4 linked regions of the Saccharomyces cerevisiae S288C genome follow. The gene in region 1 interacts genetically with each later gene. Each region holds a gene or a part of one and is shown on either strand. Other genes may lie near its edges.

Region 1 (2,824 bases):
ACCATGTATATTTTAAAACATAGTCTTCCAACATATTGTAACCAAACTTGACTTTATCAACCAGCAGCATTTTTTCCATCAGCACATCATACAACTCTTTAACTTTCGTCCTTTCCACTGCTGTTCCTTGGTAAAATGCGATCTCTTCGCTATTATTTATCATGTTTAGATGATAATTGTAGTAATCGCCGTCTGAAGCAGATCTCTCGCCTGCCAATTTACCTAATGGTGGCGTGTATTTCCTCAAAATAAACCCAGTAATGAAATAATTAACAAATATACCTGCTACTCCCACAGTTCCCAAATTATCACGTAAATAAACCGAAAAGAATATTAAATCAATAACTGGCTTTGCAATGTTTGCAAAAACGGAGCATGTCGCATCGCAAAATTTTGCAACATCATTAGTAATGGAGTTGTCGATATTCTTGATTACCGAATTGGACGCCTTTGCATCAAAAATTAATTTGTAAAATGTTAGTCTTTTATCCAAATACATGTCATGGATGTAACGTGTCAAATTTACCCTAAAGTTTAAACTCAACTTCCTTTGAAGTAGCTTAATAGCACTATTAGTATAAGAAGCAGGGACAGCAATTAAAAACCAACACCCTAAGTCCCACAGAAAGCTTCTTCCTCTACCAGCAATTATATTTTTGACTATTTGTCCATCCAGCTTGGCTACAAACAAAGAGAGCCAAGTTCTCATCACCAGGAAAAAAATTTGAGCAGTTAAAAGAAGAAAGTTTTTGTCAAAAACTGTTGGAATTAAAATTTTAGACAAGACGTTCATTTGGTTTAAAAATTTTGAGTAGAATAACTGCGAATTCTTGGCTCTTTCCAGTTCTACATTTTTAAAAAGAAACTTATCGTGTTCATATACATCGTTATCCTTTGGTGGAATAAATATCCTTTTCCTTTTTTTTTTATCTGTAGCATTCATAAATTTGTTGTCATCGGGACTCTGGCGGTCGACTAATTCCACTTCAGGAATATACATTATTCTTGCACCACTGTCTAATTGCATTTGAGATCTTGTTCTTCTTATTAAAGGTCTCCTATTCCTTCTCTTCCATGGAAACTTGTAAAATTTATAACATTTTAGAATAATTTTGAAAGTACTATATGTTACACCAGAAAAAAGTGTGACACCAGATAGGAAAAGCGATACCAATAAAATCTGGGCCCTTCTTCTTAGCTTAGGATGAGCAGCGTTTGATCTAGATATCTGTAGAAGATGCCGTATCAATAACTTGAAATATACTTTAGGTGTGACATCGTTAACGTGTAGCCCAATACAGTGAGTATGTAGATTCAGGAGCAAACTCTTTAGTTTCGCTGGTGCTGCTAATGTTGTTGACATTTCTGTGTTATGCGTTCTAAGACTTCCAGATTGTCTGAAACGGGTTTCATTGTTAGTCTCACTTCTTAGAGAAGCATTCTTATATATCTTGACTCTAAAAGGGCTGAAAATAACCGCCGAAATTAAAAATTGGGGTAAAAAAGGGTAACGAAACTTATGCGGTTAAGCCCGATCAACATATAGCTGAATATTGCGTCAAGAATAATTTCTTAATCGGGATTATTTCCGAAGGAAGAAATTCTATTGAAAAAAAAATCTTAACATCAAAACTGCTTATATACATTCCACAGGTTCAAGCGGTCATAAGAGATCTGACTTTTGATAGAAAAGCTAGTTCTTTAAGAAGGCTGAATAGAAGCTAAGCACTATTTTCTTATCAGGAGTATTGCTTTCTAATGAACGTTTATTTCATAAGTGCTAGCTTTGAATGCCTCCAGTGATGAGTTTTGCATCGAGGAATATTGGACGTAAGATAGCAGGAGTGGGAGTTGACATTGTATACTTGCCAAGATTTGCACATATACTAGAGAAATATTCCCCATTCGACCCATGTGGCCGTTCTACCTTGAATAAAATAACACGGAAGTTCATGCATGAAAAGGAAAGATTTCATTTCAGTAATCTTCTCATCGAAGAAAACTGCTTAACTCCACGATTGCATGAATATATAGCGGGAGTTTGGGCTTTGAAGGAATGCTCATTGAAAGCGTTGTGTTGCTGTGTTTCAAAGCATGATCTACCTCCTGCCCAAGTACTGTACGCTGGAATGCTATATAAAACACAAACCGATACAGGTGTACCTCAGTTAGAGTTTGATAAGATGTTTGGAAAAAAGTATCCAAAGTATCAACAGCTCTCGAAAAACTACGATTCTCTCTTTTCCACTCATGAGTTTTTAGTTTCGCTATCCCATGATAAAGATTATTTAATTGCAGTAACAAACTTGGTAGAAAGAGAGTAAAAGTTTTCTTGCAGCCGTATAAATGTGGCCCTATTTTCAACGTCCAAGTTATTTTCTGCGATATTTGAATGACACTTTTAAATGCGTATATAACAGCTCTTAGAGCTCAGAGGAAGCTTTATCGCCGCCTTTTATAGGAACAAGAGTTATGTACAAAAAGCCATCAAAACTTCGCAATTTAGAATACAAATCATACAGGAGCATATGCCAAGGAATTTCAATTCCTTGACAAATAACCATGACATCATTACCATTGATTCCTTCCTTTACGTCCAGAATATCGCCTTCAATATCCTTCAACGTAGGATTGACTCCAGTCATACTGATAGTTGGTTGTGATATTCGAAAAGTTCCTGATGTCCTTGAGGTTTGAATGATGAGCGGTATATGTCGCGGTCTTGATGAACTTATCTTGTTAGATATTTCAATGAAATCTTGGAAATTTCTCGTAATAACACTGCCCCAAAATTTTCGAGCTTCGTTGACCGATAAAGACATAA
Region 2 (3,365 bases), on another chromosome or scaffold:
TGCAAAAGATAGTGGGGAAAAACTTCAAAAACTAACAAAAAGAAGTGTTAAAGATGAACTTTTTTCTTTTGTATCGTCGGCTTGCCACATTCGATAAGTTAATAAAACACAAACGGGCAACACATCTACGTACTTTTTATGTGAAGACAAGAGAAAGAATACATCACTGATACGTGCGTCTATTGCGCAGCACTGTACTATTGCGAAGAACTGAGTGAAGGCAAAGAATGAGATGATCGATGCTTAGCCGACTGTTAAACTTACTGAGCGGTAGCCTCTACTAGTTCCTTAGTCAGATCGCACTCAACTTGGAATGTTCCGTCAGGCCCACGGAAGAAAAAGCAACAAAAGAAAGAAAAACCGGACAACATGCGGGAAAAATGCAAACTGTGTGAGGGAAAAATTAACTTTAAAGATTACATCAACGGCGGGAAAAGATCCTTCCGCAGTCCTTCTACTGCGGTTTCCCTGCAGGCACAGCTAACCGGAGGGAAGACAAGTCAAGCGGACATGCAGTTCCCGCTCAGGCTTCTTTGCAGAGAAATCGGAATATGAATTTTTTGTGTTTTTTGTTAACTTCTTTACCATTCGCATCACGGGAAGAGTGTGTTGGCATAAGAGGCGCAAGAAAAAGGTGACCCACGGTGGTGGGAAAGAGAAGAAAAAGCCGTTTGCGGAAAGCAATGTTTTGCCCATTCAGAAACAATATCTTTGCTGTATCCCTACATGTATTATGCCGCGTTGCTTGTGCAGGTACGGAGTCCCTGCACGATTTTTCAACAAGGTCTAGATTTGCTAAGACGATGAGGCGGAGCCCGAAACAAACAAGCCAAAAACCGGAATTTCGCGCTTGGTGTGCTTTCGCATCTTTTCGTGTGGTGAATGCACCTGGTGCACGCTGCGAAGGTGACGTAGCAATCCAAAAAAGGGAAGTCTAGGCGCTTTCAACCGCCCCCCACCGTGCATGCGGATTGGTTGTCACAATTCGCAGACATATTGGCAATGTTTCCTCCCCTCCTGTTGATGCGGGTAAGGGGTGTCTGTTATGCAGGAACAGGAAGGTAAAAATTAAATGGGCCTTAATTCTGTAGACACTCTCTTGGGGTAATAAGGTTAAAAGCCATTGTTGAAGTACGGAATCATCTCTTCATTTTTTCAGCGCTTGTAAGGAATTAATCCCCAGGAAGGTGCCGATGTAATGAGAGAAGTATTCTTGTTGTATCTCTTTGGTTCGGAGTATTTCCTTCTTTCTTTTCTTTGTAGTTTTTATGCAAATGCAGGGAACAGAGTACCCGGTTAAGGCTGTTAGTCAGCCGCACTCTACACAAAATTACTTGGCAAACACGTTGGTTGGGAAAAGCTTTATACTTGGCGGTGTAGTAATTGTAAAGGATCAAGATTGTGTCATGCTAATGTGCCGCTGTGTAACAACCTTTTTGAAGCGCGTATTTACCACCGGCAAAAGGCCATTGTGTCACATAAAAAAAAACTCCCGCCAAAGCCAGGTTCATTTTGCATAAGATTCACCACAGTACGGAAAATACGATAAGTTAACCAGTAATTTGCTCGCTTTAGCTACTGATAAACCTTCTCTGTTAACACTATTATTTTTTTATTACTTTAGATTTTTCCGTTTGTGAATAGCCATTTTTAGATATATAATGGGGTTCAGAAAAATACTTGCTAGCAAATCGCATCACAGTCGCCACCATAATCAGCACCATAAGAACCTGAAGTTGCAAAATCATCGCTATGTACTTATTTCCAATATTACAGGATCCCATGAAACAAAATATTTATCACCCTTCAGGATGGACAATTGTTCAGGAAGCAGAAGACGTGATAGGCTACATGTGAAGCTTAAATCCTTGAGGAATAAAATCCACAAACAACTTCACCCAAACTGTCGGTTCGATGACGCCACTAAGACTAGTGATGATAAATGCGTCTCTTATGAGGTGCCCGAAAGGGATGGCCTTGCTACTATTTCGTTAGAAGAGGTTTTTCCAAAGTCCAACAGGTGCCAAATACCTGAAGAAAACTTGGGAGAAACAGATAGCGTTATTCACAGAGATTTGGGAAATTTTGCAAATGAGAATGACTATCCACAGTGGAGAAAAGTTGAAAGTCAATATAACTTAGAGAATGTCCAGCCTGAGGAGGATGAAATAGTTGATAGACTCAGGTCCGAGATTAGAAGCACTAAATTAAAATCTGTAAAAACGACAAGCAGAACACTTGAAAAAGCTATAGAGGCTCGATGTACTGGAAAGAGAGTTCTTCAACAACTAAGTTGTCAGAGCAACCAACTCACCAAGATCGAGAGCAATTGTGACATGCTTAAAATTCAATCTAACGTAGCCGACCGAAAGATTGACGAACTTGCCCATGAAAATAGAAGCCTGCTTGCATTAAAATCACCCAACCCCTTCAGGAAGAAAAGGGAGAGAGAAAAGCGAGACCAGATCTACAATTTGAAGTTAAAGCATCGTCACTTACAGCAAGAAACTATGAAAAGAGCCCAAGATTCTGACAAAAATTTAGCCATAAATCTAAGTTCTGAATATGGACGGTATGGCCAAGGGGTGGAAAGACAGCGTATTCTTAGAGATGCCCAGAAGTATCAGTTTGAAGCCGATGAAGAAGATAACCAAATGGAAATCGACTTGTACGGAAACCTAGAACAAATAAAAGCGGTGAGTGGTGACTTGAAAATTATGGCTCACGCTTTTGGCAGAGAGTTTGAAGCACAAAACACTAGAATGTTTGACATCGAGAACAATGTACAGCAGGCAGATAATGCTTTACAGGCCAAGCGATATAGATTGGAGAAAGTGATCGGGAAAAGATGGTGATCTGTTATACACACAAAATATCGTGTATAAATATATTGAATAAATAGTTTCTAAAAAGGCATACGCAGATATTCTTGCGAAAGAGAAAAAAAAAAGAGCGAGGGGGACATTAGTACTGAAGGTCTCAATTCTTCTTTGTATTTTCTTTCGGAGTTGTCAGACAAAGCTTTCTCTTTCCCATAAATAAAGTGCATTCAAACATCGGCAGGTTTGTTTTTCCCAGTTGTTACGTATTTGTTTCCCGTTCCATTCATGATCTTAAACTGGGTTAACTGAAAAATCAACATGATTTTGTGAAAAGTAAAAGAGGGTAAGAAAGATAGATACCGCTGTCGTGGGACTATATTTTTTACAGTACCAAGTCTACTTGCTTCTCATAAAGTTGATAAGTTATAATTCATATAATTTCATTTGTCAAAAAAGATTTTAGTTACAAAACGATATCAAAGTTCAATCTTGTTGGGAAAAAGGAAAACATTATGAAGGGTTTCCGGTAATCACTGCGTATGC
Region 3 (2,711 bases), on another chromosome or scaffold:
AAGATCCAATTGTGGCCGAGTGTGCTGTTGTCGGATTCAACGATGACTTGACTGGTCAAGCAGTTGCTGCATTTGTGGTGTTGAAAAACAAATCTAGTTGGTCCACCGCAACAGATGATGAATTACAAGATATCAAGAAGCATTTGGTCTTTACTGTTAGAAAAGACATCGGGCCATTTGCCGCACCAAAATTGATCATTTTAGTGGATGACTTGCCCAAGACAAGATCCGGCAAAATTATGAGACGTATTTTAAGAAAAATCCTAGCAGGAGAAAGTGACCAACTAGGCGACGTTTCTACATTGTCAAACCCTGGCATTGTTAGACATCTAATTGATTCGGTCAAGTTGTAATGATGATTTCTTTCCTTTTTATATTGACGACTTTTTTTTTTTCGTGTGTTTTTGTTCTCTTATAACCGAGCTGCTTACTTATTATTATTTCACCTTCTCTTTTTATTTATACTTATAATTATTTATTCTTTACATACTGTTACAAGAAACTCTTTTCTACATTAATTGCATAAAGTGTCAATCAGCACATCCTCTACATCGCTATCAACAACAAATTTGACAAACCTGCCTATATCTTCAGGAACGACTGCTGCATCGCTACCACCACTACTTGTGAAGTCCCTGGAGTTCAATATGCACTGAAATTTACCTAGCCGTCTTACACATGACCATAATCCATCCATGCTATCGCAATATATGATTTTGTGTTCGTTTTTCGTCTTGCGAAAGGCATCCCCAATGGCTTGTTTCATTGATCCATCAGTGTGGCTCGTAGGTACCAGCAAAACCACTTCATCAGCGGCGTACTCCTCCCACTTTATGGGCAGTCCTTGTATCGACTTGCTCATTATAATACATTTGCTCTTCCTTGCCTTTTTGTTCTCTTTTACTGAATCACCCTCTGGAGGTCGTGCCCCATTATCTTCCTTTGCACTTGTCACCTTTTGATATATATAGTAGGACGTGACCAACACTGCTATAGCTGTACCCACTATTCCTAATGTTCTTGTTTTGTTTATTCTACTTCTTGATGGTGGTGGCATGTTTTATATCTTCTTCTTCTTTATTCTTCATTATTGTTTCATTGTCTATTTCATCAGCACAATCTTCCCTTATATTTTATTTTTTTTTTTTCGATTAATTGAATTAGGGGACTATGAACCTAATTGTTAATTTTTTGCCAAAATATTTCGCTGGTATTGCGAAGGAGATTATTCTTTGAAAGACAAAGTGTTATGTGACTATAAAACAAAACTGAATATATTATATTCTACTACTAAACAAAGTTTACAAAGTGAAAGCATTGAAAACTGCCTTTTTATGCACTAGGATTTACGCTAGGAAAAATACTTTTCGTTATGGTACCATGTAAATATATTTCTTTTACATTGCTCCGTCTAGATATCAATCCGCCAATCAAAATAATACTTTTGTCACATTGCAAAGAAGTGCCACCGACACCAACTACTATATTTGAATTTGTATCTTCATTTTCGCTATCTTGTCTGTCCTCATCGTCTTCCTTCTTGGACAGAGTAATTTTATGTTCTTCCCAACACTGCGTGCTTAAATCAATTGTGTTCAAAAAATTACCACCCAACGGTAATGTATCGACCTTGCGTTTTCGAGGAGGCTCATCATCATTCTCCGAGTAAAATTGGTCAACATCCTCTTGTACCATACCACCTATACATACACATATTCGTCCAATACTTTCCATTCTGTGGCCAACGAGACCTACGTTCACACTATCCAATTTTTCATCACCGTCTTCGCTCGAATCTGCCTTTGCAAATGTCTCTATTGGAGTCCATGTCTCACACTCTAAGTCCATCAACCACATATCATCAAGAACGTTGAGACCGTTAGACCCACCATGCAATACAACAGTTTTACCTACTGGCTTCTCTTGGCTTAAAATTAATCTCTGTCTCCCTATCGCAGTCATTGGAATAGATGACGATTTTCTCCCTGGATTGACTATATAATTTTCCAAATTATCGTCCATATCGGGATCAAAGCTCGCAGCACTTGCGCTGCTGGCCGAGGCACCAGCTTTGGGCGATTCTTGTGCCGCAGAGCCACTATTGAAAAGATCTTGATGCGTGCCATGAACCATCATGGGGAAAACCGGTTTAGGACTAACAACGCGATCCTGTGATATATATGACGGTTTTAAAACAAAATGGTTTTTTAAGTTGTTCAATAGTCTCATGTCAAGAGAACTCCTATCCATTAACGAAGTCCCATGAACAGAAAAGGCAGAAAAGGCTCTTTCTTCGGGCCAATCCGATTTGTCCTTTTCGCTTGGCGTCAGTAGTATCGCGTTAGCTGTCTCTGAAAACTTACAATAACCTTTTTTACCGCGACGTATCACGGGTATCTCTATCTTCCACAAATCATTCATTGCTTCGTAACGATCATCACCGGTTTGTCTGTAACCACCAAATATTATAACCGTGTGCACAGTATTATGAGGTAATGATGAAAGTACTGCTGCTTTTTCAAGCCGCCCGGAAGTGATGCTGCTACCTTGTTTCATGGAAGCACTCCCCATTTTATGAATTTCGTTCATGCTTGAAGAATGAACGCTAGCTCTCCTATTTGGATTATCAATAGAAATTTGTAAGTGACCAAACCTCGATGACATTGTCGGATATGCATTATATTTGGAAGGTTGTACTATGATATCTATTT
Region 4 (3,339 bases), on another chromosome or scaffold:
TTATACCACCGTTCCTTCGCAGCTACCGATGTTAAAGGAGAACGAAATTGATGTCGTTGGCAGTAGAGGTAGTTCCAGTGCATCTTCCAAGAAATCTTCGGAAAAAATTCCTGTGAATACTTTGAAGGCAATGGCTGATCTGTCGATTAGCTCCGCTGAAACGATTTCTAATTCAGACGATGAAGTAGACTTAAATCAAGTGAATGAAAAACTACGAGAAACTTCTTGCGGTAAAGTGAGAGGTATCGAATCTAATGACAACAATAACTATGACGATGACATGACAATGGTTGATGATCCTGAGTTAAAACATAAAATTGAATTAACGAAAATGTACACGCAGGACAAATCAAAATTTGTAAAGGACGACAACTTTAAAGTGGATGAAAAATTTATAATGAGGATAATTGAACCGATAAACGGAGAAGAAATCAAAAAGGAAACAAATGAGCTAGACAAAAGAAATTCTACTTTAAAAGCTACGTACTTGACTACTCCAGAGGCTAATATAGGCTCACAAAAGCGCATAAAGAAATTTTCTGATTTTACTATTCTGCAAGTGATGGGTGAGGGTGCGTACGGTAAAGTCAATTTATGCATTCATAACAGAGAACACTATATCGTGGTCATCAAAATGATTTTCAAAGAGAGGATTTTAGTAGACACATGGGTGAGAGATAGAAAATTAGGTACTATACCTTCTGAGATCCAAATTATGGCGACCTTGAATAAAAATTCCCAAGAAAATATCTTGAAGTTATTAGATTTTTTTGAAGATGACGATTATTATTACATTGAAACACCGGTCCATGGAGAAACTGGTAGTATTGATCTATTTGATGTTATCGAATTCAAAAAAGATATGGTTGAACATGAAGCTAAACTGGTGTTTAAACAGGTAGTCGCTAGTATAAAGCATTTACATGACCAAGGAATTGTTCATAGAGACATAAAGGACGAAAATGTTATTGTTGATTCTCATGGCTTTGTAAAATTAATCGATTTCGGTTCGGCTGCCTATATCAAGAGTGGACCATTCGATGTTTTTGTGGGAACAATGGACTATGCTGCACCTGAAGTCCTTGGTGGTTCCTCTTACAAAGGTAAACCACAAGATATTTGGGCTCTTGGTGTGCTACTTTATACCATAATTTATAAAGAGAATCCTTATTACAACATTGATGAAATCTTGGAAGGTGAATTAAGGTTCGATAAATCGGAACATGTCAGTGAAGAATGCATCAGTTTGATAAAAAGAATTTTGACAAGAGAAGTTGATAAAAGACCTACTATTGATGAAATATATGAAGATAAATGGCTTAAAATCTAGTTTTCCGTACTCTCCAAGATAAAGGGAAAGAATAATTTAATCCATTTTCATAACCATTTACCTTCATAAATGTTCTATTCTTTTTTTGGCTATATATTAATTACATTTTTAATATCATATCATTGCTCTATATCCTTCTTGTCCAGCCTCTATGCAGTATTTTCTTTCATTCTATTTTGGGGCAAACTTCTGCGCTGAGCGGCTTATCGCCGTCGGAGTGACATCAAGTACCATAGAAAAGTCATCGTAGACTTACATATTTAGGCAAGAGAAATAGTTAGGTAAACAGAAAGAGGCACTAGCAGAACGTACTACGGTGTGGTTTATACAAGAGGGTTCTGTGAATAATGGCTGCAAGTGAGATAATGAACAATCTGCCTATGCATTCCCTCGATTCTTCTCTAAGGGATTTACTTAACGATGACTTATTCATTGAAAGTGATGAATCGACCAAGTCGGTAAATGATCAGAGGAGTGAAGTATTTCAAGAATGTGTGAACCTTTTCATAAAAAGAGATATCAAGGATTGCCTAGAAAAAATGTCTGAGGTTGGATTTATTGATATTACCGTTTTCAAGTCCAACCCTATGATATTAGATTTATTTGTCAGCGCCTGTGATATTATGCCCAGCTTTACCAAATTAGGTTTAACACTGCAGAGTGAGATTTTGAATATTTTCACGTTAGATACCCCTCAATGTATTGAGACAAGAAAAATTATTCTCGGTGACCTCAGTAAACTTTTGGTCATCAATAAATTCTTTCGATGCTGTATCAAGGTTATTCAGTTTAACTTAACTGATCACACCGAACAAGAAGAAAAAACTCTGGAGCTTGAATCCATAATGAGTGATTTCATTTTCGTATACATAACGAAAATGAGGACAACTATAGATGTAGTTGGCTTACAAGAATTAATCGAGATATTCATCTTTCAGGTGAAGGTAAAACTGCATCATAAAAAACCCTCACCGAATATGTATTGGGCGCTTTGCAAAACATTACCTAAGTTATCTCCAACCCTAAAGGGCCTTTACTTATCTAAAGATGTTTCCATAGAGGATGCTATTCTGAACTCAATAGATAATAAAATACAAAAAGATAAGGCGAAGTCTAAAGGTAAACAAAGAGGAGTGAAACAGAAAATACACCATTTTCACGAGCCTATGTTACACAATAGTAGTGAAGAACAGGTTAAGGTTGAGGATGCGTTTAATCAACGCACCTCTACTGATAGTAGACTCCAGAGTACTGGAACGGCGCCCCGTAAAAAAAACAATGATATTACTGTTCTGGCTGGTTCATTTTGGGCTGTCCTGAAGCATCATTTCACAAGAAGTGTGCTGAACAAAAACGGACTTCTGCTCACAGGTCTGCTGCTACTCTTATGTTTGAAAAAATATAAGTCATTGATGGCAATTTTCAAACATGTTCCAGCGGCCTTTCACACTGTATACCCCCAGATTGTAGGGTTGCTAAAACTTCTAGCGAGTATATGAGAAATATTTGAATAGTTTATAAAACCCTACCTACTTATTTTAATGACATACATAATGGTTTTTCATCTTTTTCCACAATGAATGGTGGTTCTATTTTTTCTTGTGTCTTTCTGTTGTAATTCCATTTGTAACCGTGTCCAACCAATGCGAATATACTTTCTCGATGTCTTCTTTGTCCTCCAATTGATGAAATTTGGAAGATTCGATTAGCTTCTCATTGCGAGCATTGCAGACATCGTTTGCTAGACATAAATCACACCTCTTACCCCTGGCCATGCAGATCAATTGACCAAATCCAACCAAAACGGTGTTTATTTCGTACCACAGTGAGTGAGGTAGCCAAACCTGTAACTCCTTTCTAGTATGCTCGGCAGTCTTACACTTAATAGGGTCTACCCAATTCCACATTTTACACAGCCTATGGACATGAACATCGACGCATATGCCGGCAATCAGCCCCCAACCTTTTTGCAGTGTTAAATATCCCATTTTAGGTCCAACTCCAGGTAA

What was found.
Region 2: mutations in PPT2 (region 1) and SPO20 together harm fitness more than expected from each alone (negative genetic interaction), as found in Saccharomyces cerevisiae (2 studies listed by BioGRID).
Region 3: mutations in PPT2 (region 1) and PEX22 together harm fitness more than expected from each alone (negative genetic interaction), as found in Saccharomyces cerevisiae (2 studies listed by BioGRID).
Region 4: mutations in PPT2 (region 1) and PEX15 together harm fitness more than expected from each alone (negative genetic interaction), as found in Saccharomyces cerevisiae (2 studies listed by BioGRID).

The regions. Positions count from the first base shown.
Region 1 is NC_001148.4:271,794-274,617, reverse strand, and holds PPT2 (holo-[acyl-carrier-protein] synthase), read left to right. Parts: upstream 1-1,802; coding exon 1,803-2,324; downstream 2,325-2,824. Other genes in the region: ATP-binding cassette long-chain fatty acid transporter PXA1, read right to left, coding at 1-1,363; ATG5 (Atg5p), read right to left, coding at 2,424-2,824. UniProt on the Saccharomyces cerevisiae protein: Transfers the 4'-phosphopantetheine moiety from coenzyme A to a Ser of mitochondrial acyl-carrier-protein.
Region 2 is NC_001145.3:305,828-309,192, forward strand, and holds SPO20 (Spo20p), read left to right. Parts: upstream 1-1,661; coding exon 1,662-2,855; downstream 2,856-3,365. UniProt on the Saccharomyces cerevisiae protein: Required to maintain the prospore membrane to the nucleus during sporulation in order to capture the daughter nuclei and form the spores.
Region 3 is NC_001133.9:40,523-43,233, reverse strand, and holds PEX22 (ubiquitin-protein transferase activating protein PEX22), read right to left. Parts: upstream 1,058-2,711; coding exon 515-1,057; downstream 1-514. Other genes in the region: ACS1 (acetate--CoA ligase 1), read left to right, coding at 1-353; GPB2 (Gpb2p), read right to left, coding at 1,333-2,711. UniProt on the Saccharomyces cerevisiae protein: Involved in peroxisome biogenesis.
Region 4 is NC_001147.6:245,473-248,811, forward strand, and holds PEX15 (Pex15p), read left to right. Parts: upstream 1-1,677; coding exon 1,678-2,829; downstream 2,830-3,339. Other genes in the region: serine/threonine protein kinase PSK2, read left to right, coding at 1-1,330; bifunctional N-glycosylase/AP lyase NTG2, read right to left, coding at 2,920-3,339. UniProt on the Saccharomyces cerevisiae protein: Peroxisomal docking factor that anchors PEX1 and PEX6 to peroxisome membranes. PEX26 is therefore required for the formation of the PEX1-PEX6 AAA ATPase complex, a complex that mediates the extraction of the PEX5 receptor from peroxisomal membrane.